Stegostoma tigrinum: one gene and its partners. The protein of the gene in region 4 purifies or fractionates together with the protein of the main gene of each other region. This does not show direct contact. Links are inferred from orthologs where the notes say so. Each region holds a gene or a part of one and is shown on either strand. Other genes may lie near its edges. The genes, in order: smad2, skia, ski-like protein and rnf111.

Region 1 (7,901 bases), on a different chromosome or scaffold from region 4:
TTGTTAAATTGACTCATTCTGTAACGCATTGCTTGAAAGTATGATGGAAGCTGACTTAAGTTTTCAAAAGAAATTGAATAAATACTTGAAATACAAAAGTATGCTGGAATTTATGGGGGGAGAAAAGACAAGAAACTAACTTTTGATAGCTTTCACAAATCATGTACAGATATGATGGGCCAAATGGCCTCATGATTCTAGAAACAGCAAAATATTCAATACACAGAAATAAAATTAAATTTACACTATTAGAGGTCTGATTCACATTTGCCAGTGAACTCCTATTGGCAGAACTAGCCAACTTTAAAATATTACTAGCTATACAACCATAAATAAATCCATCCCATTTCCACGTAGATCGAACTGGTGTAAAATTTATAGATCAATGCTAAAGATGAGCTTTGGACATTTGCACCAAACTGGAATACACACTCAAGATGCATATTAAATAATGCTGGAACTTGGTTCTTACCCAAACCTGTTGGACACAGTCAGCATTAAATAAATTACATGAATACATTAAAAAGGAAAGATAATTTAGGCTAATAAATCATTTGGGTTTTTCGCCACTTTTCCATAATGGGAAAACACAATGCTGGAAATGCATAAATAACTTCATCAGTATTCAAATATGTAAAAACAGGCCATTAACAGGGACATAACTTGTTTTTGTTTGAAGATCTCCAACATTATCCATTTGCATCAGATACTGAGGATTTTCAGTATCTTCTGCTAATGCTGTAATTATCCAATGATTCTGTTCAGCTTACAGTTCAAATTTTGAGTTGTTACAAATTAGAACAATTGAAGATTCTGTTCCAGGAAATAAAAACTCACGACATTCCAGGAGTCTACAATAAATTTCTACAAGAACACAGGCAGGTTTTTAAATGGAAATGCTCCACAACATGTGATGAATTAAAAAATGGAATGACTATTAACTAAAAAGGTCATTGTTTTTCCTCTCAGTTATTAACTAGGCTACCAGCCTAAATGACTCAGAACTAAACTGCAGAAAGGGACTGCAGTTATAATATATTCACTATGTCTTCTGTGCCCCTTATTTGGGCGAGAAAACGATAGCATGCCAAGATAAACACAATAGTTCCATCATTTTGGCTCAGATGAATAAACATTTCTTATTTCCGCTAGGGGATCAGATGTGAATTTCAGGAAAAAGAGCCCTTCTTTATTTTTGCCATGGCATTTAAGAAAGTGCATCCATTTTAAAAGGGAAAAAAGTTGAGCACAAAAAACAAATTCTGTAAAAATATTTTAATGGAATCTCAAAACATTTGTTTCAAGAAACTATCCACTAAAGAAATCAGATTAAAATCATCCTAATGACAGCTACTTACATCCTGCATGCGCTTCTCCGTATAAAATGGAAAAAAGTTAACCACATTCGTAACTATTGCTACCGAAGAGGCAAAAACAGTGGTATGGAAATACTGCCACCTCCAAGTACTACCATTCTAACAGACATAATCAAAATACTGAAGTTTCCTATCAAACACCTTCATGAAACCATCACTGTAAGGAGCACTTTCTCGAGGCAACACAGACTGATAAGAAATGCAACTTTAACAATATGCCAAAAAAGGAAAACCCTGATTTCCCCCTAACAATGTTTTATATAAAAAGTTCTAATATCAAATCCAAAGCATTAACCAGGGGCTTGAGTCTGTACTTGAGCAGAAAACACTAACCTTCAACAAACAGTAATAACAACTTATTTTTATGCTAACTGAAGATAAAAAAAGTTTCTGAAAAAAGGGTCCCGACCCAAAACGTCAAGCTTTCCTGCTCCTCTGATGCTGCTTGGCCTGCCGTGTTCATCCAGCTTCACACCATGTTATCACAAAAATTACAAATTTATCCAAACCAGTATGCTGTTCAATGGAATAAAACTGTCCCTTTTTATCATCAAGAAAATTATTATGGTTTTTGAACAAAGCTACATTAATGAAGTTACAACCTAAAATTACAAAGTTAATACACATTTCTAAAAATCTAAATACACATCAACCAAGTGTCAAGTATTACCAATGTTTATAATTAGCAGAAACTGGAACAAAATATTTCCCTCAGATTCCGAAAATAAAAAAAGTGAAACAATCGTGCATTTGGCCACAGGGCCTACGGATACACTCGTTGGTAAATAATCGAGTTGACTTTTAAAATAACAAAGATAAACTTGTCCCAAAAAAAGTGTATCATTAAAATGTAACAACTTAACCTGGCTGCACAGTTTAGGAAGAGAGGTTTGGCAGAAGCTAGGCGTTCCTTACCTGGGGATGGTCACGCACTTGGTGTTGCAGCTCTGGGTGGTGATGGCCTTCTCCAGCTCGTCCAGCTGGCCCGTCTTCTTCAGCTTCTTCACCAGGCTCTTGACGGCTTTCTCGCACCATTTGTCGTCCTGCCCGTTGTTCTGCTGCTGCTGTTGTTGCTGCTGCTGCTGCTGCGGCGGCGGCGGCGCCTGCGACGGAGACTGAGAAGACGGAGACTGCGACTCGCCGCCTTTCTTCCAGCCCAGCAAACGCTTGACGATGGGCGGCGTGAAGGGCAAGATCGACATGGTTCGAGCCAGGAATGGGGAGTGGGAATGGGGGGGCGGGGGCGTGGGGGTATAGGGCGACGGTGGGTGGGAGGGAGGGGGAAAAATGAGAAAGGTAAAGAAGAAGAGGAAAATAACAATAAAAGGGGCTAACTGAGGCTGGAAAAGGAGGGGAAGAAAACGGCAATCACGATTCAAAATTTCACACAATTGTGCCTCGCGTTGCTCGCTAACCGCCGCTTATCAACCGAGACGATTCGAGAGAAAATAAATCAAAATTGCCCTCAAAAAATGTCGTTAGCCTTCTGGGTAATTTATTATTAATTCTCACATCCTCCCCTGAGGAGATTTTATTTTATTTTTTCTCTCCCTCGCTCCCCGCTGGCCTCTTCGCTCCCTTTTTCTTTGATTGACGGAGAAAAACGATTAAACAGCCTCCCCCCGACCGCTCTCTCCACCTGGAAATCCCACCCCCAGCGCTCGCGCGTCCCCCACTCTCATTGGCCCGCCTGCCCCAGACGCCCCGCCATTCGGCCACATACCGCGCGCCTATTGGACAGAATCCCCCGTCAATCAATCCAACAGTGCGCGGGGAACGTCCGGTTAACAGGTTTGGTTGATGCCTCAGCAAAACTTTTTTCCTCCCTTTCTTTGGGGAAGGAGGGGGAAGGCAAAACGATCAAGGGGTGTGTTCCTCCACTTGAAATAGTTCCAGCGGTTACGTTCAAACTAATCACCTTTTTCGATGCGGAAAGGACTTGAATTGAAAGCTGGAAATCCATTTTTTTTGCTAATATAAATCCAAACGTTGTTAAATTGGCCTATCAGTTAAAGTTACCTATTATATGAGCTTATTATTCAAAATGCCCTTTGGGTGTATTCTTCCGCCGGCTCACTCCTATCTGCTGGATTTTCAATGCAAGGAAGAACAGTTTGAATTTTCTCATCAGCTTTCTACTTTGTGTTAGAATTGCTTAGTTATCATGTACACTAATTGGAGCATCTTCCAACTTGATATATTCTGGGATGGCTACTATTAGCGTGAAACACATGCAGTTTGAACATTTGGTTTTTGTATTGATATTGTTTAGTATCCAGGCTTCAGTGCTTTTGAAATCCTAGATATCAAAAGAGTTGAAAATTAAACAGACTGGTGGGCATTTTGCTTGCAGCCTTGAACCTATCTCCTCAGCACCACCGTCAAAAAAGTCCAACCTTAAAACTCCAATTATCTCATTGTTTTATGAATGGTAAAGGGCTGAAAACTATTTTAAGTATGTGGCAATAATTGTGTTTCAAAACTAGATTAACAAGCCATTTCTTGTCTTGATCTGATCTGAACCCCTACATCTGCCACCGTTATGTTACATATTTATGAATAATTTTGTATAAATCATGAGTCCCTACAGTGTGAAAACATCCCCTTCTGCCAACAAATCCACACTGACCCTCAACATCCCACCCAGACACATCCCCCTATAACACACCTAATCTATACATCCTTGAACATTATGGGCAATTTAGCACGGCCAATCCACCTAGCCTGCACATCTTCGGACTGTGGGAGGAAACCGGAGCACCCAGAGGACACCCACGCAGACACGGGGAGAATGTGCAAACTCCACACAGACAGTCGCTCAAGCTTGGGATCAAACCTGGGTCCCTGGTGCTATGAAGCGGCAGTGCTAACCACCAAGTCGCCCCTATGTATATGCAATATTTTTTCACATTTTCTATCACATGCAAATTAGGAACAGAGTAGACCATTTGGCCCCTCGAACCAATGCTCCACTGTTAAAGAAGATTCTAGCTGATCTGTTTGTTTGAATTCTACACTTCCCTCTAACCCAATAACTTTCATTCCCTTGCTTCCAACTTCAAATTGTTTGATGACCCAAACAATTATCTTCTGAGGCAGAATGTTCCCAACCCACGCACAAACTTAACAGTAAACAATTTACGCCCCAAAAGGCATTTCTTAATTTTCAAACAGTACCCGTTAATTCTGTGCTCAACCATAGGCTCGAAGCGTCAGCCTTCCTGCTTGTCTGATGTTGCTTGGTCTGCTGTGTTGATCCCACTCTGCATCTTGTTATCTCATATCCTCTTCATAGCCACCTTTAAGGATCTTGTAGACTTCAACAAAGACTTTCCTAAACTCCAGTAGAAACAAACCCAGACTGTACAACATTTCCTTAGAGGGCAACCTGTTCATACCTCAACTAAACACTTCCAATGCTTTACATCCTTGGGTAAAGAAACCATAGTTTTCCAGAAGTGGTCTCACCAATGCCCTAGTATTCTAGTTTTATGTTCAATTGCTTTTGTAATAAAGGATAGCAGTCTATTAGCCTTAATAATTGGGATATCTGCATCACCATCGGCAGTCCTTCGCAGATGAGAATGACACTTCCATTGTCAGGGTGAGTCCATAGGTGGCTGTACAAATCAATTTGACTATCATAGGCTCTGTTACATTTGGGGCAGGTAGTGCTCACGAGAAACTGGTGTGGCAGAACAGTCCTTGCGCTGTTTTCGCCTGCCTCCCAATTTTTCCCAATGGCAAGTCTCAATGCCTTCTTGATGCCTTCCTGGATGAACCTCCTTCACTTTGGACAGTCTTGGTCTCTGTGGGAATGCTGTACTTCATCAGTGAGGCGTGAGGGTAATACTGAGGCACTTCCTCAGTGCATGTGGTGCTTGCCTGCTGTTTGAAAGCTGGGAGTAGAGCACCTGCTTGGGGAGTCTCATTTTGGTCATGTGGATGACATATCCAACCCATTGTAACCAACCAAAGATAGTAAGTGCCTTGACACTGGGAATGTTGGCCTGGTCAATGAAGCTGGTGTTGCGTCTTTCTTCCCAGCAGATTCACAGGATCTTGCACAGGCCGCATCGGTGGTACTGCTCCAGTGCCTGGAAGTGCCTTGGTTTTTTTTTGAAAGTTGGAATAGTAGGGACGGCATGAAGGGGTGGAGTCAAGATCCTGCAGAACCAGGATTTTAGTTTAAGCTTTCAACAGTTGCTGGGTTTTTGAAGCTGGATGTGGAAGCTATTCTCTCCCTGTTACTGCAATAAGCTGGGGTTCTCTTCTTGCCTTGCTAGAATTGCATGCAAGACAATCTATTTTACTGAATTTGCCTTTGCCAAGGATATGTTTATTGAATGGTACTGTATTGGAACAGTCACTGTTTACAAGTTAAATAATCTATTATTCTATTAAGCTTTCCAATAGAGTTAAGCTCCAAAAAACAATGCAACAGCTTATAAAATAGTAATTACTGCTCCAAACGTGCAAGGAAACCAGTTCCAATCCTGAAAATACCTCAAAAAAAAGGAGCAGCTCTTACAACCATAATTTTTCCCCTTCTTCCATTTTGGATTGCCTAGGATCCTTTTTGGAGGGTTTGAGCTACAGGGAGAGGCTGAATAGGCTGGGGCTATTTTCCCAAGAGTGTCAGAGGCTCAGGTGTGACATTATAGAAGTTTATAAAATCATGAAGGACATAGATGGGGTGAATGGTCAAGGTCTTTTCCCCAGGATAGGGGAGTCTAAAATTAGAGGGCACAGTTTTAAGTGAGAGGAGAAAAAATTAAAAGGGACCTAAGGGGCTGTTTTTCCACACAGAGGGTGGTGATGTATGGAATGAACTGCCAGAGGTAGTGGTAGAAGCTTCTACAATTCCAACATTTAAAAGGCATTTGGATGGGTATATGAATAAGAAGGGTTCAAAGAAATTTGGGCCAAATGCTGGCAAATGGGTCTAGACTAATTTCGGAAATCTGGCCAGTGTTGACGAGTTGGACTGAAGGGTCTGTTTCCATGCTCAGCTGTTGTATGATTCTCTGACTCTAAGTTATTCCAATTTTTTTTTGTTTGCATTTTACTAAATGTAAAAATAAAGTGTGTTCTGCTTCAAGCTTGGTAGTTGACCAATTGATTTGTAGCCAGGACTCAACACCTTACACCTGCCTTTAAAAATAAGAAAAAGTTGAAGCCCAAACTATCTTAAATGTTTTTGAGGCGAGTTTGTCTGGACCATAAAATTAGCTGTAACTTCTTTAATGATAACACCTTGACCATGGCAGATATCAAGCTAACTTGTCAATGGTTTCCTGTTTTCTACCTCTCTTCCTTCTTGAATACATGGGTTATATTTGTTGCTCTCCATTCTGACAGAATCTTCCCAGAATCTAGGAAACTTTGGAGAATTAACACCAACACATTTTTTTTATTCACTTGTGAGACACGGGTGTCAATGACTGAGCCAGCATTTATTGCCTGTCCTTAGTTGCCCTTGAGAAGGTGGTGGTGAGCTGACATCTGGTGCACTGCAGCCCGTTCACTGTTGATAGACCCACAATGGCGTTAGGGAGAGAACTCTAGGGCTTTAACCTAGTGACATTTGAAGGAACTGTGATATATTTCCAAGTCAGAATGCTGAGTGGCTTGAAGGGGAACTTGTAAGTGGTGATGTTCCCATTACTTGCTGCTCTTCTCCTTCTAGAAATGGATGGTTCTGGGTTTTCGAAGGCACTATCTAAGGAGCTTTGGCGAATTACTACAATGTATTTGTAGATGGCACTCTGCTATATCTCACCATCATTGGTGGAATGACTGAATGTTTGTGGATGTGATGCCAGCCAAGTAGGTTGCTTTGTAGACAAACAGGAGGCTGGAAGAACACAGCAGGCCACGCAGCATCTGGCGGAAAGGAGCAGTCAACATTTTGGGTATTACCATTCTTCAGGTTGCTTTGTCCTGGATGGTGTCAAGCAGCTTGAGTATTGTTGGTGTTGCACTCATCCAGGAATCTGAGCAGTATTCCATCACACTCCTGACTTGTGCCTTGTAGATGGTGACAGACTTTGGGGAGTCAGGAGGTGAGTTCCTTGCCACAGTATTCCTAGCCTCTGTCCTGCTATTGTAGCCACTGTATTTATCTGGTATCTGCAGCTCAGTTTCTGGTCAATGGTAACCCCCAGGATGTTGATAGTGGATTATTCGGTGTTGGTGATGCCACTGAATGTCAAGGGACAATAGTTAGATTATCTCTTTTGGAGATGGTCACTGCCTGACAATTGTGTGTCTTTGGAACTCTTTGCCACTTTTCAGCCCAAGCCCAGATATTGTCCAGGTCTTTTTGCATTTGAATATAGACTGCTTCAGTACCTGAGGAGCCACATTTTTTAAAAAAATTGTGTGATGTGGGCATCACTGGCTGGCCAGTCTTTATTGGAACATAGAACAATACAGCGCAGAACAGGCCCTTTGGCCCTCGATGTTGCGCCGACCTGTGGACTAATCTAAGCCCCTCCCCCTACACTATCCCATCATCATTCA
Region 2 (7,817 bases), on a different chromosome or scaffold from region 4:
AATATTAAGAATCCAGAATCTTCATGGATTGATCTCCAACAGAACAGCTTCTGGAATTGCCCCTTTAAAACTTGTAGAAAATATGGTTTTGCTCATATGGCACTAATGGTACTTTATTTTCTCTTAAATGTCTATTTTCTTGCATTACTTAATCATGTTCGTTTTTGCAGATGCATATAAAACCATCCTTCGTAATGTATGAGCTTAGTTCTCAAACCTTCAATCAGATCTTTAAATCAATTTTTACACAGAAATTAGTTTTTATTACCAAAAACACTGCAACAACTTTTTTTAAACTGAACTGTTCTTTCGGAAGCATATCTCCTACAACGACTTAAGCAATGCAATCCGATATTCCTTGGCACAGGTCTTTTTTTCTGCTTACTAAACTGTCTGTAATTGCCCAGGTAATATGTACAGTATTACAATAGGAACAAAAAAATCCAAAAGCGCGAGGGATTGAATAGGTACATTGACGATTTTGCTGTTTGACTTTCAATGTGCCGAGTATGCCTCATCGGCTTTTTAAAATTCGCAACAATTGATGCAAATGAACTGTTGAGCGTTTCCTTTTCAATTCAGTCAAGAGGTAGCCAAGGTTCACGGCCGTAACCTTTACCCACGCACAAAGAACAATCAATGCACTGTCTGCTATCTTCTCTTTGGAAATCAGAATGAAATGGGGTGGGATGGGTGCTGTTAGAGGAGAAAAATATAAAAATACAAACTTGTTTCATTTTTGGATGAACTATGGAATGAAATCCGAATTGATAGGTAAATAACGCACTTTGAGGTAGGAAAGTTTGTGATCTTTCCCGGCTTTTGAAGCGCAACATTATGGTAGCGTAGCTTCTTGAACAGTTTAGTTTTATAATTTGGAATAGATTGTCTGGACAGATTCAGTTTTTATTCTTAAATCGCGTCTATGTTTCCAATTGAAACGTTAGCAAACCTAAGTACAGCTATGATCATGTTGAAATCTAGTTTGAGTATAGAACGGATTAAACAGCTTCCCCAGTTTGCCTTTCGGCATTAAATCTCCTCAAGATCTGCTAAATTGATGTGGATTGGATAAAACACTGCCCTACACAGGCCATGCCTTGGCAGTTGTTCACAGAGTCAGCTCTCTCCATACAAATGCACATCTCACAAAACCACTCCCACATATTAGTGAGCAACGAAGCACACACCCTTGTCTGAAACTATCACATTGAACAGCCCAGTCAACTTAATGCTTCAACTTAGCACGTCATTATTTATAATGGGAAACGATTAAAATACATACACCTTCAAGTATTTAATGTATCATACATGATTTTAAAACCTCTCCGCCAAGTGAAGGGAAAGTACGTTGAGAAAGAGGTTCAAACACATAATTTCCACAAATTTAAAGAGAAACAAACTTCCAGAAACTGTTTATAGTACCATTACACCGGCATATACAGTATCGATACCTATGAAACCGAGAATTAATGATTTAACCTTTATTAAAGAATTGAGTTTATTGCGTTCAGTTCTGAGTCATGTTTGTAGTGCCTATTATTGACATTGAGAAACAAGTTAAAATATTAACCTTAATGTATTAAAAGCTCTGTACCGTAAACAGTTAACTTATAATCTATAAAAAAACTATGCGTCTTAAGTTCTAAAAACGCTCACCCTCGGTGCTTTTCTTTTGTATTTGTTGCTGTAGTCAAATCTTTCTTTCATTTCATCCAGTAATTGTTCCAATCGTGCCTTCTCCTCTTTTGCCGTGTAATCCTGACTCAAAAGGACATAGGCTCTCCAGTTGGCCGAATCGAAACCCCAATGGCAGGTTCTGTTTTCCAATGATTTGTGCGAGTGTACTACGAATTTGTGAGGAGGATACATCAGCCTACAGTCCATGCATTGGATACATGCAGCATGAGGATTACCGTACAATTCAGGCACAAAGAGTCCCTTGCACTTTCCAAAACACTCATGGTATACTTTGAAGCTTTTCTCTGTGATCTCTAACTCAATGGTGCTTGAGTATTCTTTTTTGCAATGGGGTGGGTAAGTTCCTCCATAGAGTAAGGCATTGCAAAGCCTCTCTGCGTCTGTCTTAGTAATTAAGCCACAAGATGGGGCAGAGAAGGGCAAGATCCCCATGACTTTCAAAATCTCCAGCTGGTCTGCCGTGCATCGAGAGCAGTAAATATGTAATTCATCGCATACCGAATTGATCTGTTGAAGGGAAAAATCTCTAAGGACGGAGTTCAGAATTTGAGGCAAGCAAAGCCTCTTCTCCCCACCAACCACGAAACAAGAAATGGTTTCCCCCTCCAGAATAGTCTCACATCTCTCCGTTGATCGGTCCGATGGGATGAAAAGGGGTCCTGGCATGACAGGAGGGGGCTGTATGGGTAGGTGAATAATCTGATCTGTTTCCTTCCCAGTTTCCTTTTTGTACATCATCTCGTGAGCCCATCGAGCAGAGAAAGCTGCGGGTCCTCCAAGCGAACTCATACTGCTGAGATGAAACTGCTTTAAGGTTTGTTGGAGTCCTGGGTGAGGCTGAAAACTAGATCTTGGTACAGTCTCCATGATTTTTGGCCCTAAAAAGCACACCCGTTTTGTATAAAATCAACTGAATCCTTTAAAAAGCCACGGCGTCCAAGTTTATCCCACCACCGCGTACAATATTAAAGTAGCTCATGAAATCCAGTCTCTAAGCGTGTTGTGTTTCTGCAGCACTCTTACGTTCAAACATATCCACAATCGTGCCCTTAAAAAGATCTTCAAGCAAATGCTGGTTAAACCAGTCCTTCGAAATCCAGTCCCCAATTGGTTTTAGACTGTACTTTGTTTCTTTTTTCTTCTTTTCAATCCTCTTTTACGATCTACAAGCGTAAAGACGCGGCACATCCACACAATACGACCTTGCAGCTCAGACTGTCTTCTCCCCTCTGTTTGTCGGCGTCTAGGTCAGGCATTGAATCTCAGCCAAGAATGCGTCTGACTCCCCCAGGGCTCTTCCAGGAACCAGCACACTGCCCACCGATTTCAACAGCAGGCTACAAACATGCAACAATTGGTTTCACAAACCAATAGCTTTTCAAACTGCCACGCGGAAGGGAGAGATTTTTTTCCAAAGTTCACTAGAAACCATTAATAACCGGGATTGGTCGCTGGCAGCTTCTTCTACAAAACACGTTCTGTGGTTTACAGATCGTCAGTTTGATCTAGTATAACGTAAGCGGGAGGGGTTTTTTGTCGTAAGCTGGACAATTCTACAATAAGTATTACTGTAACCTTGCGTTAATGAATAATTTTAAGAAATGCAATACACAGAACTCCATTTGTTTTGTTTTTAACATTATAAACTTTTGTTCTTTTTACATTATAAACCTTGCATGTACCAACTGTCTTGGTAAACTTTTGGTTTAGTGATATTTAATAGCAATCTGAGTTCCAAGTCAGATAAAAATTTTTTCTGAGGAAGGGTCCAGACCCGAAACATCAGCTTTCCTGCTCCTCTGATGCTGCCTGGCCTGCTGTGTTCATCCAGCTCTACACCTTGTTATCTCAGATAAATGTGGGTTCAACTTTCCAGAATTTCAACACAAAAGCTCGACACGCTTCTTCAATGCTGAAGCTTGATGTGCTGTCATAGGTGCTGACTTTTGGATGAGATGCTGGAATGAGCCCCCACCTGTCCTTTCAGTGGTGGTAAAAGATCGCTTTGCATTATATGAAAAGCAGGAAACTTATTCCTGGCCCATATTATGTCTCAATTAACATCACATTTGATGAAGAATCGCCAGATTTGAAGTGTTAATTCTGCTGTCATCCTACAGATGCTGCCAGACCTGCTGAGTTTCTCCAGCAATTTCTGTTTTTGGCACAAAATGTATTATTCTGGTCATTATCATTCAAAATACAGGTAGTTCATTGGCTGTAAAAGACTTTAACTTATCTGGTATTGTGAAGGTGCTATATAAATGTAAATCTTCTCATCTAACAGTTGTGTAATGTTGGGACAAACTCCAATTGAGTGTTGTCATTAAGATAACAAGGTGTAGAGCTGGATGAACACAGCAGGCCAAGCAGCATCAGAGGAGCAGGAATGTTGACGTTTTGGGCCGAGACCCTTCTTACTATCTCTTGAGTATTGTCATTTATCACTTCCCAGAATTATACTAGACAAATGACAGTGCCACAGTCAATGTATAATGTACACATGTTGTATAGGTGTAGTGAAATTTAACTCTAATGTAATTAAAGTTTGAATAAATTGCTGCAATTTGCCATCTTTGAATATATTTTCTTAATTATAGTGACTGTACCAATCTTTATGTTATCAGGCAATAATGCAGGAAGCGATAGGTGCAATTTTCAGTCTTTGCTGAATTAGTGAAATTCATCCAGCACAGTAAAATCCTCATTCCACAATCAACCAAAGCCTTACTCCTTAATTCCTTTTCGGTCATCTGGGTGTCTAATACAAGCAGAATCCAATCACAGTACTTCAGGATCAGAAGTCAATGAAAAATCAACAAGATACTGCTCTCTGTTTACTCAATTTAGAGTACGCACTCTTACTTGAATAGATATGCCTGACTTAGCCAAGACCAGAAAGTTTAGATCATTATGACAAGTGCTTAGAAATTTCCATCTGTGAACAGCATATTAGAATTCAACTAGCTAAATAATAACTTGAGAAATAGCATTAGATCTAGGTCATTCAGACTTTTGAGCCTGCTTCACTGCTTAATAAGATCATGGCCGATTTAATCTGCCCTTAACTCCACTCACTTGGCTGACTCCCATAACCTTTAACTCCCTTGTCTGTCCAAAATCTGTCTAACTCAATTTTGAACATTATTAAATTAGCCAGCTTTATCAGTTAACGGAGAAAAAAATTCCATAAACAAAACCCCATTCTCTGAGAGAAAAGAATCACATCCCTGTCTTAAGTGGGATGCCTCTTATAATTAAACTGTGTTTTGGACATGCTCAAGAGCATCAAGTTCCGAGAAGTGATGATCATCAACATCTGACCTTGTCCACCCATGTTGATACAACCGTCAAGAAAGCACAAAAACGCCTCAACTTCCTCAGGAGGCTCAGGAAATTCAGCATGTCTGTAAAAACTCTTATCAGTTTTTATAGATGCACCATAGAAAGCATTCTAACCAGATGAATCATGGCTTGGTATATGGCAACTTCTCCGCCTAGGACTCCAAGAAACTACAGAGAGTTGTGAACACAGCCCAGTCCATCATGCAAGCAAACCTTCCATTTATTGACTCCACCCATACCTCTCACTGCCTCGGAAAGACAGCCAACATAATCAAGGACCTCCCACCCCGGTTATAATCTCTTCCAACCTCTTCCATCAGGCAGAAGATACAAAAGCTTAAACATGTACCACAAGATTCAAGAACAACTTCTTCCTCACTGTTATTAGACTGCACTCAAAACAAAACTTTTCACTGTATCTAGGTACATGTGACAATAATAAATCAAGTTAAATCAAATCCTCATTCTAGCTTCCACCAGTGGAGGAAGCATTCTCCCAGAATCCACCCTGATAAACTGTCTCAGAATCTTATGTTTTTTGATAAAATCTATTCTCATTCTCCTAATTGCCATGGGAATTAACATAACTTGGTAGACTTGCTCTTTTAAAACAAATCCTTCATCCTAGGAATTAGTCAACTGAACCACCTCTAAACAGATTTCAATGCAAATGTGTCCCTTCTTAACTCAGGTGACCAGAACTGTACACAGTATTCTAAATGTGTCCCCATCAATGACTTCAGCAGTTGTATCAAGACATCCCTACATTTGTACACCAGCCTCCTTGCATTAAATGCCAGCATTTGTTTACCTTCCCAATTACTTACCATACCTGCATGCTGATGTTTTTGTGATTCATGTGCAAGGAGACCCAGCTCCCTGTGCTTTGCAGAATCCTGTTGCCTCTCTCCAAGTAGACTTTGAGATGAGCATGCAGCACTCCTGTCGTAGTTAGGTAGCTCCAACAATTGTAGGTCACCATATATATTTTTAATCAAAAATTGGAAAGAGCTTATCATGCATGCTAGTCCCAGTTGCACCAGGCATTGAATGCTATAATCAGTTATTCTTGAGGGGATCACTGCAAGATGTGACTGAAGTTGCAAGTTTCTTGTTTCTTAAAAAAAATTGTGGGTCCAGGAGGAGCAATACAACACCCTGCCTATCAAAACTCTTTCAAAATGCTATAATCTCTTCCCCTGCTCTTGGGACTTGTCATTCTGTTCAGTGCAGTAGCTGTTCCACTTTCCATCATTCAAATTGACAAGCTGCAGTATATTTTAAAGCATAATAAAGTTTCTTCTGCTCTGCACCCCAACCTCCACTTCTATAGAGTGCAACCTTTTCTCAATTACCCTTTTTGTACTTTCACGCTGTAGTTTCTCAGTGAAATTCCTGAATAGGAACAGTTTTGTTGATGTGTTCAATAAGGTATTCAACAAGGTTTCACATTGTAGAAGGATGAATCCACGTGGATTACAGGGAGATCTTGCCATTTGGATACAGAACTGGCTCAAATGTAGGAGACAAAGAATGGTGGTAGAAGGTTGCTTTTCAGACCGGAGGTCTATGACCAGCAGTGTGCCAGAAGGATCAGTGCTGTGTTCATGGCTTTTTGTCATTCATGTAAATAATTTGGATGTGAACGTAGGAGGTATGGTTAGGAAGTTTGCAGGTGACACCAAAATTAGTGGTGTAATGGAAAGCTAAGAAGTTTACCTCAAAGTACAATGGGCCTTGATCAGATAGGCTGATGAGCCGAGGAGTGGCAGTTGGAGTTTAATTTAGACAAATGCGAGGTGTTGCATTTTGGAAAGGCAAATCGGGGCAGGACTTATATACTGAATGGTGAGGTCCTGGAGATTGTTGCCGAGTAAGTATATTGAGCCTTTGTATAACGAAATTGTACAAGCATTTTTAAAAACATTTTAATTACTTTTTTAAAATCAATTTACTTTCTTCCACTGTCAGAAGCATTGACTCCCATTGGATACAGATTTAATTCCCTTATCACCTAATTAATTCATACTCTGAGTTTACACAGTCAGAATAAGTAGACTATTTAGTCATGGGAGCACACCATAAGCAAGTCAATTCTTATTCCTTGCTCACATCCATACATCGACTATTCAGGAGGCTCATTGAATAGCAACCAGAAGTGAGAACCGATCTGATATTCACTTTCCTAATTCAGGGATGCTGCCATCTGATGAAGATTAACTAACTCAAGATGTATTGTGTATTCAATTTGGTGTATTTAATTTGAATACTTCGTCTGCATGCTGCCTTTCAAGCTGAAACGTGTTTTCATTATAAGTGATCAACATAGCTTTTTTCCCAATCAATTACATAGACACTGGCATTAAAACAGGTGTCATAATGTTCTTTAAAACAATAATTGCAGACAAAAGAACTTAGGCCCAAAGCCAAATTTTGGATGTGCATTGTTTCTTAGCAATTTGAAGATATTCTTAGTTGCATTTCTTAATGGTTTCCCCTATCTGCTTTATGTGGGGTCGTGGGGAAGGAATGTAAAAAACTTGAAATCACAAAAGAAGGAAGGGGGGTCTCATTAAAAATTAAAACTGCAAATAATTCCTGTGTTTTTATTTGCAGCACAGTTGTGTAGCATCATGAGTTGGAGGCTACAACTTTATACAGAAGGGAACTTCAGCACATGCTACAAATTCTACTAAAGACAATGAATGTCATCAGCACTGCAATTGTGACATATATTCTATTGAAAAGTACTCTTAAAGTTTTCAATGTAT
Region 3 (7,734 bases), on a different chromosome or scaffold from region 4:
TTTAAACCTGAAATATTGACTTTCTTGCTCCTCTGATGCTGCCTGACCTGCTGTGTTCCTCCAGCTCCACACAGATACCACGGTGATGCAAATCTTGAGTTGGAGCCTCTGAGCCCTTAACACGTGTTTCAGAATTTGTTGCTTCTCAAGCTAAGTTGTTCCATCACAATGTGCAAAATTGCCCAGGTATGTCTTGTGTACAAAAAGGAGGACAAAACTAACCCAATTACCCTCAATCAGTCTACTCTTGATCATCAGTAAAATGTTGAAAGGTGTCATCAACAATGCTATCCAGCAGCGTCTGTTCAGCAGTAACCTGCTCACTGATGATTTGGAATCCACCAGGGCCAGCCTTCATTCAAACATAGCCAGAGGTGAGGTGGGAGTGACATACCATGACATCAAGGCTGCATTTGACCCAGTGTGATATCATGGAGCTGTAGCAAAAGTGAAATTAATTGGTATCAGGGGTAATCTCTCGACTGGTTGGACTCATTCCTGGCATATAGGAAGATTTTTGTGGTCATTGGAACTCAGTCACCTAATCTCCAGGGCGTCGCTGCAGGACTTCCTTAGGCTAGTATCCTAGGCCCAATCATCTCCCGCTGCTTCATCATGACCTTCACTCCCTCATAAGGTCAGAAGTAGGGATGCATGCCACTAATTGCACAATGTTCAGCACCATTCACGATTCCTCAGACAATGAAATGGTCCATGTTCAAACGCAACAAGACCTGGATAATATCCAGGCTTGGGCAGACAAGTGGCAAGAAAAACTTATGCCAGGCAATAACCATCTCCAATAAGAGTTGATAAAATCACCACCCTTGACCTACAATTGTGTTACCATCATTTAAACACCCCCTGTCAACATCTTGGGATTACCATTGACCAGAAACTCAAGTGGACTTGCCACATAAACACAATGGCCACCCCAGCAGGTCCAAAGTTAGGAATGCTGTAGTGAGTAACTGACTTCCTGACTCCGCACAGCCTGTCTACTATTTACAAGACACAAGTCAGGAGTGCAATGGGATACACCCCACTGGCCTGGATGAGTGCAGCTCTAACAACACCGAAGAAGCTTCATACCTTCCAGGACAAAGCAGATAGGTTGACTGGCTCCACATCCACAAGTATCCACTCATTCCACACTGACGCTTAGTAGCAGCAGTGCGTATTATCTACAAGATGCACTGCAGAAATCTATCAATGATCCTTAGACTGCACTTTCCAAGCCCATGACGATTTGCATCTCAAAGGGCAGAAGAGACGTGGGAAAGTCACCATCTGCAACTTCCCCTCCGAGCCGCTCACCATCCATTTTGGCAAATATATCATGGTTACTTCACTGTTATTGGGGCAAAAATCGTGGAATTCCCTCCCTAAGGGTATTGTGACTCAAACTACAGCACATGGACGACAGCAGTTCAAAAAGGCATCTTACCTCCACCTTCTCAAGCACATATAGGAATGGGCAGTAAATGTAGTGTTCCTCCAGCTCTACACTGTTATCTCTGACACCAGCAGCTGCAGTTCTTACTATCTCTGGGCAATAAATGCTGGCCAGCCGGCAATGCCTAAATCCCACAAGTGAAAAACACAAAAACAGAAGCATTGAGTCTGTACTGCCAGAAGGGTTTTGAGGTCAGAGTCATATACATGTTTGTAAGACGATGACTTTGTTTCTCTGATAAGAGACTCAGTCAGTTTGATATAACTGTGAAGACACAGGCAATTTTTTAGGATAGTTAACTGGCTGTCTGACACCTTTGGAAGCTTTGCGATGTCAGAAACCCATCATATATATATTCAATTCAGAACATAGGAGTAAATTAAGGTATAAAATGACAGTGTGATTGTAAAAGATTAACAGCCCTGAGGCCGAGAGTTCAATCCTAACAGCACAGTTTCAGTTAATCTATGCAAGTAAATCTGTGAGCTAGCATCAGGTATAATGACAATGAATACTGCACATTATAAAGCCCAATGTTTTTGTGATAAGGGAGCTGTATTCTCAATGTAACTCTAACACCGCAGCATGTGGTTGACTGTCAAGCTTCTGAATAACTGGTCATACTGTGGACCCGCCAGAGTTTCCCACATCCTGAGAACTGGTGGAAAATACTTCGGTTTAGTTCTGAAAATACGATTCATATTTATCTTGAAACATTAACTCCCTCCATAGATGCTGCCATCCTGCTGAATTTCTTCATCTTAAAGATTTCAGGGCATTATTTAGAATTCTTCCATACATTTATCTCTCAAATCAATACCTTAAAACAAATTTTCTGGTCATTATCAGATTTCTCCTTTGGTAAAATGGTCCTGTTTTCTGTGGATAGACCCTTGATGACAAACTGTGTTCGGGCAAACCATATTACCAGTTCACAAAGTAGTCCTCAAATGAATAGTAATGACTAATTGGTTATTAGCTGTAGTCTATGAAGGACAGTAAGAATCTCTCTCTCCATTAGAAAGAGACAATTGGTTAAGCTTGAGGGACATCATCGTATCATCGAGTTACACAGCACAGAAACAGACCTTTCAGTCCAATTCATCCATGCAAACTGATTTAGTCCTATATGTCAGCATTTGGCACATATCCCTCTAAATGCTTCTACTCCTACAATAAGAGAGTCATAGCGTGGTACGGTATGGAAAACAGACCCTTTGGTCCAATCAGTTCATGCCTATCATGTTTCCAAGCTAAACTAATTCTACCTACCTGCACTTGAACCATATCCCTCTAACCCTTCCTATTCATGTACCCATCCGGTGGCCTTTTAAATGTTGTAATCGTACCCACTTCTACCACTTCCTCTGGCAGCTCATTCCATACTCTTGTGAAAATCTTGTCCCTTAGTTACCTTTCAAATCTTTCCCCTTTTACCTGAAACCTATTGCCCTCTAGTTTTGGACACCCCTACCCTGGGAGAAAGACCTTGGCTATTCAGCCTACTCATGCCTCTCTTGATTTTATAAACCTCTGTAAGATCATCCTTCAGCCTCCAACACTCCAGGGAAAACTTCATATCATGTTGAAATTCAGGCAAATGAAACTCCACGAATACCACAGCTGGTACAGATCCATGCTGTTGGTGTCTTTCTGTACCACATCCTAGCCATCTAACCAACTGAATTAACTGACTTTAACCATGAAAAAATGCATGCCTGAACTATTAATGGTTATTCAGGTTCAGATCAGGACCCATCTTTCACCAAGCTCACTATAGTCAGTCAATGGGTGGAGCTTGGCAGATTCAATTTAGTAGTACTGTAGAAATCACTGAACCAGTAGACATTATGTACCATAATAATAAATAATATAAAAAGAAAGGGTGCAGGAAAAAAATATCTCAGTCTAGCAGCACTGAGCAGAAAAAGATGAAGGCTGAGGTTATGACCTAAAGTTCAACTTATTTCAAAATCTTAGTTTGTTTCTTCATCCCTTCAGATGGTTTTACGCACTTGTTTGTCCTTACCTTATAAAGAACCTCTGTTTCTTCACTATGTGCGTTACCAGCTGTAGCTCATCTTTATGGTCATCCTGGGAATAGGATCAAAACCAGTCAGTAATCTCAAATGGGTATGTATTGGACTGTACCATCCTCTCTCACCTTTTTGGTTTGGAGGAAATGGTCAAATTGGTCAGTGGAAGATTAATCATGCGTTAAAAAACATACCTTTTCTCTGTAGGCAGGCCCATGAAATTGAGGATGTTTTGCTTCCATTTTGTTTCAATGGATATTGCAGACATTTTTTTACTTTTGCGTGGGTGCGGACATCAGGGGCAAGGTCAGCATTTGCTTCCCATCCCTAACTGCCCTCAAATTGAATGGCTTCCCAGATCATTTCAGAGAGAAAGTAAGATTCAATTTCATTGCTGTGCATCTGGAGTCACATGTAAGTCAGGCCAGTTAAGGATAGCAGATTTCCCTCCCTGAAGCACATTAATGAACAAGATGGGTTTTTTCTGTAATTGCTGATGGTCTCACAGTCATTGTTACTAATACTACCTTTCAATTCCAGATTTTGTGAACTGAATCTACATTCTGCCCATGCTATTAGAATCATCCCAACAGAGAATCATTCTCTTTATTTACTAGTCTCCCCTAGCACTAAGCCACCATCTTCTCCCAAAGCCTCTTCCACATGTGGAGTAAGTAGTGCTTGAGCGAGTTGCTGGGTGGATGGTTTTATAATTATGTGGCTAAGCTACGTCCCCAGATGAACACTGGCTGTATCTTATAATTGTGATTGTCCACTGGAACCATTGGTTTACTTTGGTGCATTCACTGCCACTAATCTTTCTTTGTTGGATTAGTCCCAGATTTTAAAAAACAAGTGGGAGAGGATGACCACTCAAGCTTTTCTGTAGAAGAAGGCTATAGTCTTGAAATAAAGATTAAAGATTTATTACATAATACTGACTGGGTGGTTATATTACATGTAATATGTTTTTAGGGAGGTAATGGTAATATCACTGGACTAGCAATCTTTCAGAATAAATTTTAAAAAAATCATTTGAGTGATTGCGAAGGTTCTTTGGGATTTCCAGAAGTGGTGAAGGACGCCACTGTGTCAACAGATAATAATTTACCTGCATTCTTTGCAGTCGGGGTGTCCCTTTAAGGGCAATGTGGTCAGGTGACCGGGCGTTCAGGGTCGGAGACTGTGAGTCAGCGCTCCGTCTCGCCGGCTGCGTGACGTCGGCGTTTCCTGAGTGGGCGGCGGTGACGTCGATGCTTTCTGTGCGGCGGTGCTCCGCGGCGAAGCGAGGGAGACAGACAGACAGATAGACGGGGCACGACAGTCTGTCTGTCTTTGTCACACAGCCGGTCCCCGGGGAGGTGAGGATTGTCAAAGACGCCTTGAGGAGCACTGCGAGTAACAAAAGCGGGAGAATTGTGCGGGTGTGGGAAGAGGCGGAAGGAAGGAAGGCCTCTGGGAAGAGGAGGGGGTTCCGAGTATTTGACAGGTCCCCGGGACAGCGAAGCGGAGCGCTCGGCCTGTCAGCAAGCACCAACCCATCCGGCACTGGGACTGTGTAATCATTGACATACAGTGGTTATATAATTATACATACAACTCAGAGATACATGTGAGGGGATATTAAATTGAAAGCGGCCTGGAGTCTGGAACTGTCAGTCCTCAGTCGCCAGGACTCCCTCTCTCCTTTTTAACCCCCCTCCCCCACTTCATTTACATTTCCAACCTGCTTTTGGATTAGAGAAGCCGCCGTCGATCTCAAGAAACAGGCTGTCCTCCCCCCGCCCCCACTCCCTGGGGGAGGCAAGATTTCAGTCAGCAGGCCCTCCCTCCACGTTGCTGCAAAGGAGCCGAAGTAGGGTGGGAGAGAGAATCGTCGTTTCATCGAGGAGAGGGTAGCGACGCCTCCCGATTTTTATTTCTCTCGTTCACTCTCCCAAAGTAAGGGGCTTCATGCCAGTCTTCAGTGAGTCGCACCAGGCGTGCCTTGGATCGACAATGTGTTAAATTCAGTCGCGAGAAAGAAAAGAAATTTAAATTAGGAAGACAGAAGTACGGACGATTTGCCGTGTCTTTGGCACATCCCACGTGAAATAGTGGTTTGGATCCAAGTGTTTTTCTGGTTAGAAGGTGTATTTCCTCCCATCTGGCGAATGACCAAATCAGTGCTGAGAAATTTCAAACGAGTAGAAGGTTGGTTCGCCACCTGCTGAGCAGATCGTGTTTGTGTGTGTGGTTTTCGTTACTCGTCTGAGTATTGGCAGCGGAATCGGACTGTACAACCCGGCACTGTGGTGGGATTAATTTGGCTGGGATGTGCAAATGTGGAATCAGTCGAAATTCGGATTTTGCCTTGATTAGCTTGGTGATATAGAGACTTAAGACATTGTTCACAACATTCTAATTTCTACCAATGATATGTGACCAGAATGTATTGAAATGCACGACGACCATCGTGTGCTAATTTTGTAGGCGACAGTCATTTAATCTAAAGTTGTGCCTGGATATATAAATTGGGGGAAAAAAAACTGGTACGTTTCCCAGTAGCCATGACAAGTGTACAAGGAGCTATGAGAGTGATGGATGGAGTTAACTTGGGTGAAGTGATTGTAAAAAAGGAGCCAGTATATGACGGAGTGGGAGAACGAAGCAACGTGGAAAAGGAGTTTGATGGTAGAATTACACATATGCTCAGAGCCCCAGGAGTAAAGCTAGAAAGTGGACAGGGCCTTGGAGTGGAGGAGACAGCGCACACAGATGTGTGTGTGCCCAAAGCTTGCCTGTTGTCAGGAGTTCGTCCATTGGATCTTAACCCTGCTCTCAAACACACATTGGCTCAGTTTCACTTGAGCAGTCAGAGCTCTCTGGGTGGGCCAGCAGCATTTTCGGCACGTTGTACTCAAGAGTGTATGTCGCCAGGGGGGCTAATGCCCATGACATCACCCCCTGTGCTGCCAGGACCATTGCTTATACCCTCAGACAGTTCAACTGAGCTCACGCATACTTTATTGGAAGGAGAAACTATCTCCTGCTTCATGGTTGGTGGGGAGAAGAGGCTGTGTTTGCCACAGGTCCTAAATTCAGTTCTGCGAGATTTCTCTCTTCAACAGATCAACACTGTCTGTGATGAGCTGTATATTTATTGCTCAAGATGTACGGCAGAACAGCTACAAATTCTCAAAGTCCTAGGCATCTTGCCTTTCAATGCTCCCTCTTGCGGACTTATAACACAGACTGATGCACAGAGGTTATGTAATGCCTTGGTTCATGCAGGCATACTGCCTCCAGATGCCAACAAACTCCCTGGCAAAACATGCCTTGCCCAGTTACAGAGCACTGGTTCCAGTTTTGAAGTAGAACATTGGTGTCTTGGGAAATGTCAAGGTCTGTTCGTGCCGCAGTTATACAGTCACCCTGATGCTACCTGCATTCAGTGTCTGGACTGCCACATGATGTTTTCACCCCAGAAGTTTGTCCTGCATTCGCACAGGTCTCCAGACAAGAGAACCTGCCACTGGGGCTTTGATTCAGCTAAATGGCGCTGCTATGTGCAACTGAGCCGTAAATATGCAGAAACATCTGAAGAAAAGTTCTTACAGCAATGTTTGGAAGAAATGAAAGACAGATTCAACCTCAATAACCAGCGAAAAAGACTGCTTCCAAAGGTAAGTTCCATTTTTCACTTGAAGGAGAATTTTGCTGATGATATGTTTCTGTGAACAAATATTTCCTGGTCAATACTTACCTCTCGACCAACCTCAGTGAAAACAAATGATCTGGCATGAATTTAATTCCTGTATGTGGTAGATACCCTGCATTTTAATACTGGATACTACGTTGGCTGTTGAATACTGAGATGCCTAAACAGTTGAGATAGTTAATGTGAGACCTTTCTTTTTTCCAAGATATCTTAAATCTGTGTTTTGTATGGGGTGAGTGGTGCATTGGCTTAAATGTAGTGATTTTGACATCTGAGAAATCATTCAAATTCAACCGGACTGATGGGACCAAAAAAAATGTCATCTCTACTCGTTGCCTAAATGGTTGCAAGTGAAAAAAGTCTCACTCCAGTTCCAGATGAGCCTCCAATACAAAACTGGCCATAATTTTACATTGACTGACAATCTTCCTAAGACCACAGCTTCTGGTTTAGAAAATAGAAAACACAGTATCACTCTGGTGTAATTGTAAGTACCCTGTTGTCTTTGGGATTTAGACATAATAGGAGTATATAGTGTGACA
Region 4 (7,648 bases):
TAAAACCATTTGGTGCCTGTTAAAATGAGTGTTTGTCCCTCCGTCTCCTCTCCCCATCCAAGTGAGAACAGGATGCAATCAGATGTGCAGCATACACAGGGCAGTCCCAAACTGTGTGCAATAACTTGTAGGCACCCAGCCACTGTTCTCCATATTAAAGGCTGTGGCTTTTAAAGACTGATGGCTCCCAATTACATTATATTTTGGTAGAAAATCCTAACAGGCCTGCTCTTAGTGGAAGAACAAGACATTATTCAACATCTGAATTATTGCAGTCATTATTCTGACACAAATGTTAATTTAGAAAGTTGATTATTCAATCTCTCCTCAGATTGCTCAAACCAGTGATAAAATGCAGACTGATAAAGGAAGTTGATGCGATTGCACGAATGGACAACTGGTGCTTGCAATCTGGCAGTGGCTATTGCTCTGCTTCACTGCACCCTGTACTTTGGGAGCAATTTTTACTGCATCATTAGATGTACATTCAGAATCCCTCATATGTAACGACTCTAACAAAAATACACATTCACAAGTATGCAAATAATCCAGCGTGAAAATAAAGAACAACTCCAACCTTTGTCTTGGCAGACCGGGCTGGTGAAAACAATGATAGACCAACCGCTTGCCCTAACTGGAATCTACAATCAAGCCAGTCAAGCAAGATCCTATGATTCACTGAGAAGTTACAGCACCGAAACAGGTCATTGTCAACATTTCCATACGGGTGTTTGTGCTTCACATTAGCCTCATTTAACCTCAACTGCCTGTTCTTCTATTCCTTTGTCCTTCATACACTCAGCTAAAGGCATCTACAATATTAACCAAAAATCCTTGCCAATTATAAGTGTCAAGACAGGGATTAGACAACTTGGCTCAAAATAATTGTTGTTGGGCTAGCTTAACAAAACAGAGCTCGGGAGCATTTGATTAAACAAACATTAAACAAAACTACTGGATATCAAATTAAAGCAGGAGTGTTACAAACAACATGTCAGTCAACAAGTGGAAAAATACACATTTCCCAAAACTTGGACACAAGGCAGAAAGCAGCTCTGATGAAATATCTCACCAAAAGTACTAAGCTAACTTTTCTTTTGAAGATACTGAAGGTAATAAAAAGTCATTCTAGTATTGTCTGATCAGGGACTTCACAAAAAGTCAACAATAATAAAAAAAGCTTGAAGGCAGATTTAGATCAAAACTTAAGTGCAACTTTGAAAGCTTTATTTTATTCCACTTCTGTAAAGAGCTTCAAAATTTATAGATTCAAACTCTATGATTCAAAGTCCATATTGAAACAAGACAGTTAAACAACTGAAAATAAAAATTGGATCTCTTCAAGTAACCACTTAAGTATTCAAAATACCACACAGTTGCAACATCCATGCCAAAACCAAATTCTACCTGACAAAAAAAATCATTGAAACAAACACAAAACCGTGTGTGAAACATTTGCTTCAGCAGTTTTTTTTTTAAACAACAGATTGGTTTACCGAAGGCCACAAATAAACATATGACATAGCTTTTCTGATGAAGGGTCTAGGCCCAAAATGTCAGCTTTTGTGCTCCTAAGATGCTGCTTGGTCTGCTGTGTTCATCCAGCTCTACACTTTTGTTATCTCAGATTCTCCAGCATCTGCAGTTCTCATTATCTTTGATATCACATGGTGCTGTGTGGCACACAGGCCAAACAAATTTCAGATTTTAATGCAAACAAACTTAATTTTCTGTTACCCATTATATCCTACTAAAAAGCTGTACATATAGTACTTCAACATCAAACCATGTCACAATTCCCCTGGGTTGTGACCTGCTTCCTCCTCTGAAAATAGTATAAATATTACTGTTCATACACAGAACTACATCACACACAAAATTAACTGATTGCTAATTATAAATATTTTGTTCTTCATCTCATAAAGGACATAAACCTACCTTACAGTCACAATAAATATTAGTGATGACAAATTAAACTTAGAAACAATCCTGTTATTGACAGTACAATCAAAAATTTAAACTGGACCTGAGAAGCACTTCTGTACTTTCTTTGAGGTTCAACTCTGACTCTAAAACCCAAACTGTTCTTTGTAAAGTATTTTAAAAAGTTTTTTTTCATAGGGTAGACACTTCAAAGTATAAAATGAGAAAAATGTTCAAAGCAAAAAAAATTTTTAAAAAAACACAAGAACATGTTGAATGTCAAGCTTTGACAGACTAATTTGAAGTATGCACTAGAATAATCACGGGCAACACCAAACTAAAACTGATACCTTCCATCGTCAAACCTTGGCTGTGGTGTTAAAATTAGTATATAAGGCAAATGCAGACAGAAATCACCCTCCAAACACCTTTCTCCTCCTCTATACGGTACACTGCAGGGTTCTCAATCAATCAACAGACATTCAATTGCTGTTGAGAATCCGACATCGCTCCCCGGCAACCACCAGCTGGATACCTAAATTTTACTACGCCTTGAAAAATGCAAAAAATATTGTAAGATTTATCTAATGATCAGTTACGATTCAAACTTCTGCAACACCCCCCCCCCCCCTTTCCTATTCTGTAAATTCTGTTGAGGAGTTGTTGATGTTGTTGGGAAGGCGGGGGGATCACTCTCAAACATCTAAACGTCAGCAGCTCGAAAGGCGCTCACCAGGCCAGGTCTTCATCACGACTTTTTTTAAAAGAAAACGGTCGCGAATGGAGAGAAGATTGCGGGGAGGAGTCGGGGGGAGTGAATTAAAATTAAAGAGGATAGACATTTTTTACACTTCCAAATATTGGCGAATAATTTCGGAAAAGAGCTTACCGAAGCTTTTCTGTAAGGTGCTGGCCGCCTCGCATTATTTCCACAAGGCCTTATTCAGATATTTCTGGGAGGATTTTAAGCCTCTTGTTTACAGAAACCCCCAAACGACGAAGCTTCGCTGCTCAGCCCGGGGTTGCTCAATGCATCGGACGGGGCAGCTCCACCTTCACGACACGGCCCGCATCTGCTTTGCGGCCTCCCTTCCTTTCCACGACACAGCCCGCATCTGCTTTGCGGCTTCCTTTCCTTTCCACGACACAGACCGCCCTTTACTTTCCGGCGCTTGACGGCTGCATCGCGCACGCTTTACGGCACCGGCTTTGTTTGCCGTTCCCAAAACGTCAATGGTACGAAAAGGAGCACGTTTGCCTCTAAGTTTGTCGCCTGTGGGATGGTGAAATCGGACCCGCCTGCACCGCTGGTTTATCGCCAGGGGTCTTCCGACTTCCCACAACACGATTTTAGGAAAATAGGGAAATTCCGGCGCATGCGTAATTTTTCCAGTTTCTACCATAACAAATGCCCTGCCTTTGTATAGCGCCTACTAATAATGCTCTTAAAAATCCTGGGTGTTTGGTGCGAACATAAACGATATAAAGATTACAAAGATAATAGGGACCGCCGATGCTGGAGAGTCTGAGATAACACGGTGTAAAGCTGGATGAACACAGGAGGTCAAAGCAGCAGGAAAGTTTGACGTTCGGGACCTCGATTATAAAGATTAAGCGGCCCAAGGAGATTTTGGTTGTTGATTCCGAAGAAAGATCACTGGACACGAAACGTAACGTTTCCTTTCGCTCCGCAGATGCTACCAGACCTGTTGAGTTTTTTCAACTTATGTTTTTTGGTTGTTGAGCATTGATTACAATTAAAGAAAGGTTGAGGAAGTCATTTTTAAATCGTTTCAACGTTTCGATTAAGTCATTGAAGTGTTTTTTTCCCTCATTCGTGACCATCCACGACACCACTAAATGTTGGAAATACTCAACATTTTTAAGAGGGCAAGCAAGGAGGCAACACAGAGAAATTTGACGCATCGTGTTTCTCAAATTATCTTCAGAATCGTTTAATTGAAAATGGTTTGTGAAACATTTATAGTTAAGAAGCCTGGTGCTCAAAGTGCCTTTCGTGCTTTCATTTAGTGATAATCTGCGTTCCCGCTCTAACTCCACAACACGCTATTCCCGCCGCAAAGCAGGCTACCACCGCGCTCCAGCAGCCATCCGGGTCCTTGGCCATCCGGGCATGTGGGGTGGGGGTGGGACAATGCCATCCGTGCTCCCGTCACGGTTGGAATCCCTGACGGATGAGGGCTGGGCTAGGTATCCGGGGCGGACTTCGGCTGAGTCTCCTTCCCGGGGGGGTGGTGGAGCTTGGTCATCCGGGCTCCTGTTGGGGGTGGAGCTACGCCGCTCGAGCTGCTGCTTGCTCCGTGAAGACGCCTGAAATGGCTGCCGCTCCTAGTCCGAATGAAGCTCGGCGCATCACAGACTTGCGTGTCGTAGATCTTAAATCCGAACTCAAGCGGCGGAATCTCGACATTAGTGGCGTTAAAACCGTTCTGATCGCCAGGTTAAAACAGGTGTGAGAAATCACCAAAGTCAAGGAGAGGGAAGGAAGTCGGCGCTGGGGTTTACCGCCGTCACCTTTAGGCCTCGGATGAAGCCTAACCCACTTTGCTCTGCGCAAATTTTAATGGCTGCTTCGGCGCTCACTGGGTTAAATGTCTTGCTGACCGGTGACAAATAAATCTTTGCGAATTAAATATTCACTGCATGGTAAAAGTGCTTGAGATCTTGATTAAAAGATCCTTTGCCTTTTGTTGGTTTTCAGTATGATTAAACGTGCGAAAAGACTGCTTTTTAATCCAATGAACGTTTAATTGACGCCTTTTAGTTGTTGATAGCTTTTACTTTTTTAAAGAAACACAACCAAAAGCTACCCACTTTCTGATTCTCATGATCTGTGAAGTTGAATGAATAAACACTTGAAGTGGTATGCTTTATTTCATAACTTTTGTTGAAAATTTATAACCTGGAGCCGTTAAATAAATTAATCTTCTTCTTTGACTACCAAATAGTATTTTGTTCATTCATTGGGGTGCTTTTTATTGGGTAAGCAAAGATAAATAAAATTCACGTTGGTTGGTTTCCAAGTCGGACATTTGCACTGGATTTGTTACATAGTTAACGCGCAGAATTTTATTTTGGGTGTTTTAAGAAAATCACAGGGTTGAAGCCCAATATTTACCTTTAAGACTAACCAGTTGCAGTGAAAACCTTTTAGTTGACGCTATTTGATTGTAAAGTATAAGCATTTATAACATGTCATGTCCATTTTCAGAAATATGCAACTTTTCCTCATTTAGTTTCAATTCTTAATATTATTTTTCAACGAGTTGATTGAGTTTTTGGGAAAAGAAAACTTGCATTTGTTGCTACCAAAACAGGTAATAGAAGAGGAGGGAGGCGATCCTGATAACGTGCAGCTCTTTTCGGATACGCCTTCAAAGAAAACACCTAAAAGCAAAGGTATCCCACCTTTCTTAATTTGTTGTGTATGATTTTGTAACAAAGGGTTAACTTTATTAATATACTTTCTGTTTTTAACCAAAATGTAAATACTGAACTTGGTGATGGAGAAATAATGAAACAACCTGAAGGTCCCAAACATCTGCCCTTTTTAGTTGATGTCAATTATGGATTTGAGAGGTGCTGCTGAAAACTTGAATGACCTGACAAAGGAGTTAGATATTTAGGTTGTTGGGTGAAATGCAAATTTTGTAGGCTACTTAACCTTAGATGGTGTTGAGTGGCATCTGTGACATTTCTGTCAAGTTGGGAGTGTTGCATTGTGCTCTAATCATTTGATTTTAGGGAGCGCAAAGACTTTAACAATTCATTAGGTGAGCTATTCTGCCTGGACTATTGAAATTCTGATCTGCCTTGCGGCTTATTAACGGTGATTGTCTTTTCTAGAGATGTTAATGGTCAGAGTCGAAGACAATGTTATCGAGGAGATTAGGGAGATACAGGCTATTAGACTAGATGGGATTGAGGTTCACAAGGAGATGGTGTTAGTAATTCTGGAAGGTTTAAAAATTGATAAGTCCCCTGGGCCGGATGGGATGTATCCTAGGATTCTCTGGGAAGCTAGGGAGGGGATTGCATTAGAAGATTAGGCTTTATTGGTAGAGGGATTGAATTTTGGAGCCATGAGGTCATGTTGCAGCTGTACAAAACTCTGGTGTGGCCGCACTTGGAGTATTGCGTACAATTCTGGTCGCTGTATTATAGGAAGGATGTGGAAGCATTGGAAAGGATGCAGGGAAGATTTACCAGGATGTTGCCTGGTACGGAGGGAAGGTCTTATGAGGAACGGCTGAGGGACTTGATGTTTGGGACTTGATGTTTTCGATACAGAGAAGAAGTTTAAGAGGTGACCAAATAGAGACATACAAGATGATCAGAGGATTAGATAGGATGGATGGTGAGAGCCTTTTTCCCTGGATGGCTAGTATGAGGGGGCATAGCTTTAAATTGAGGGGTGATAGATTTCGGACAGATGTCAGAGGTAGGTTCTTTACTCAGACAGAAGTAAGGGTGTGGAATGCCCTGCCTGCAACAGTAGTAGACTCGCCAAGGACGTTTAAATGGTCATTGGATAAACATATGGAGGATAATGGAATAGTGTCGGTTAGATGGGCTTCAGTTTGGTTTAAACAATAGTAGGCCATTCGGCCCTTCAAACCAGCACCACCATTCATTATGATCATGGCTGATCATCCACAATCAGTATCCTGTTCCTGCCTTATCCCCATAACCCTTGATTCCAATATCTTTAAGATCTCTATCTATCTCTTTCTTGAAACTACCCAGAGACTTGGCCTCCACTACCTTCTGGGGCAGAGCATTCCATATATAGGTCAGTGCAACATTGAGGGCTGAAGGGCCTGTACTGTGCTTTAGTGTTCTGTGTTCTCGAGTCTTCATGATATGGCCACTCAATGCATACTCTTGTTGGCTTGTGTACTTAGCTTAAGTCTGCATGTTCTGCAGTTTGTCAGTGCACTGCTTAATTATGAAGGTTTGAACGGAACTGAACACCAATAAATAAACATTGAAGCAGGTGAGGACACTTGGAACTGAGGCACGAGGCTACTGATTGCTTACAGCAAGGTTCTTGAGCTGACGTGATGTCCCTTCCGACAACCACACTTACACTTGTGCTTGATGTGACTCAAGTTGTTGAAATCTTTCTCCGCTGATCCCTTTGGAATTTTAGTTTAATTCAGATTTCTTGATGTTTTGCTTAATTAGGCAATATCTGTCAGCCCTGCCATTCAGTAAGATTCATTCTGTTTCTGTCTGCCAACCCACTGTTCCCATAACTCTTGACTCTCGGGGTGACAAAAACTATTATCTAACTCAATCAACTCAATTCAATCTTGAATGTACTTTGACCTAGCCTGACTTTTCATAATTCCAAGACTCTCAGAAACAATGGTTTGTTTTCTTTTTTAAATGGGCAATCCCTCATTTTTGAATTCATGTTCCTGAGTTCTAGATTCCTATGCACAGGGACATATCTCCTCATCTATCGTGTCAACCTCCTGAGAATATTATGTTATCCAATACAGTAGAGCACAGGAAAAGGCCCTTTGGCCTGTGTTTCAGTAAGACAGACTCTCAATTTAATCAACTCCATCAAGTACAGGTACAGCCTGTTCAAACTTTTCTCTTAACCACCTTAATCCCAGGAACCACTCTTGAATGCTGCGTTGATTTTAAGAGCTATTACTGTCAGCTCACCCCTGCAATTCAGCTTGTGTTTCAT

Evidence for each region.
Region 1: the proteins of rnf111 (region 4) and smad2 purify together in Homo sapiens (affinity purification with western blotting, with the first as the bait; 3 studies listed by BioGRID). This does not show direct contact. The link is inferred for Stegostoma tigrinum from reciprocal best matches to the Homo sapiens genes RNF111 and SMAD2.
Region 2: the proteins of rnf111 (region 4) and skia purify together in Homo sapiens (affinity purification with western blotting, with the first as the bait; 3 studies listed by BioGRID). This does not show direct contact. The link is inferred for Stegostoma tigrinum from reciprocal best matches to the Homo sapiens genes RNF111 and SKI.
Region 3: the proteins of rnf111 (region 4) and ski-like protein purify together in Homo sapiens (affinity purification with western blotting; 3 studies listed by BioGRID). This does not show direct contact. The link is inferred for Stegostoma tigrinum from reciprocal best matches to the Homo sapiens genes RNF111 and SKIL.

Annotation. Positions count from the first base shown.
Region 1 is NC_081354.1:160,634,301-160,642,201, reverse strand, and holds the start of smad2 (mothers against decapentaplegic homolog 2), read right to left. Parts: upstream 3,009-7,901; 5' UTR 2,579-3,008; coding exon 2,292-2,578; intron 1-2,291. UniProt on the Homo sapiens protein: Receptor-regulated SMAD (R-SMAD) that is an intracellular signal transducer and transcriptional modulator activated by TGF-beta (transforming growth factor) and activin type 1 receptor kinases.
Region 2 is NC_081381.1:23,171,927-23,179,743, reverse strand, and holds the start of skia (v-ski avian sarcoma viral oncogene homolog a), read right to left. Parts: upstream 3,001-7,817; 5' UTR 2,569-3,000; coding exon 1,660-2,568; intron 1-1,659. UniProt on the Homo sapiens protein: May play a role in terminal differentiation of skeletal muscle cells but not in the determination of cells to the myogenic lineage. Functions as a repressor of TGF-beta signaling.
Region 3 is NC_081367.1:61,088,246-61,095,979, forward strand, and holds the start of ski-like protein, read left to right. Parts: upstream 1-4,728; 5' UTR 4,729-6,041; coding exon 6,042-7,157; intron 7,158-7,734. UniProt on the Homo sapiens protein: May have regulatory role in cell division or differentiation in response to extracellular signals.
Region 4 is NC_081386.1:17,460,409-17,468,056, reverse strand, and holds the start of rnf111 (E3 ubiquitin-protein ligase Arkadia), read right to left. Parts: upstream 3,017-7,648; 5' UTR 2,813-3,016; intron 1-2,812. Other genes in the region: sltm (SAFB-like transcription modulator), read left to right, coding at 4,119-4,394, 5,262-5,343. UniProt on the Homo sapiens protein: E3 ubiquitin-protein ligase. Required for mesoderm patterning during embryonic development. Acts as an enhancer of the transcriptional responses of the SMAD2/SMAD3 effectors, which are activated downstream of BMP.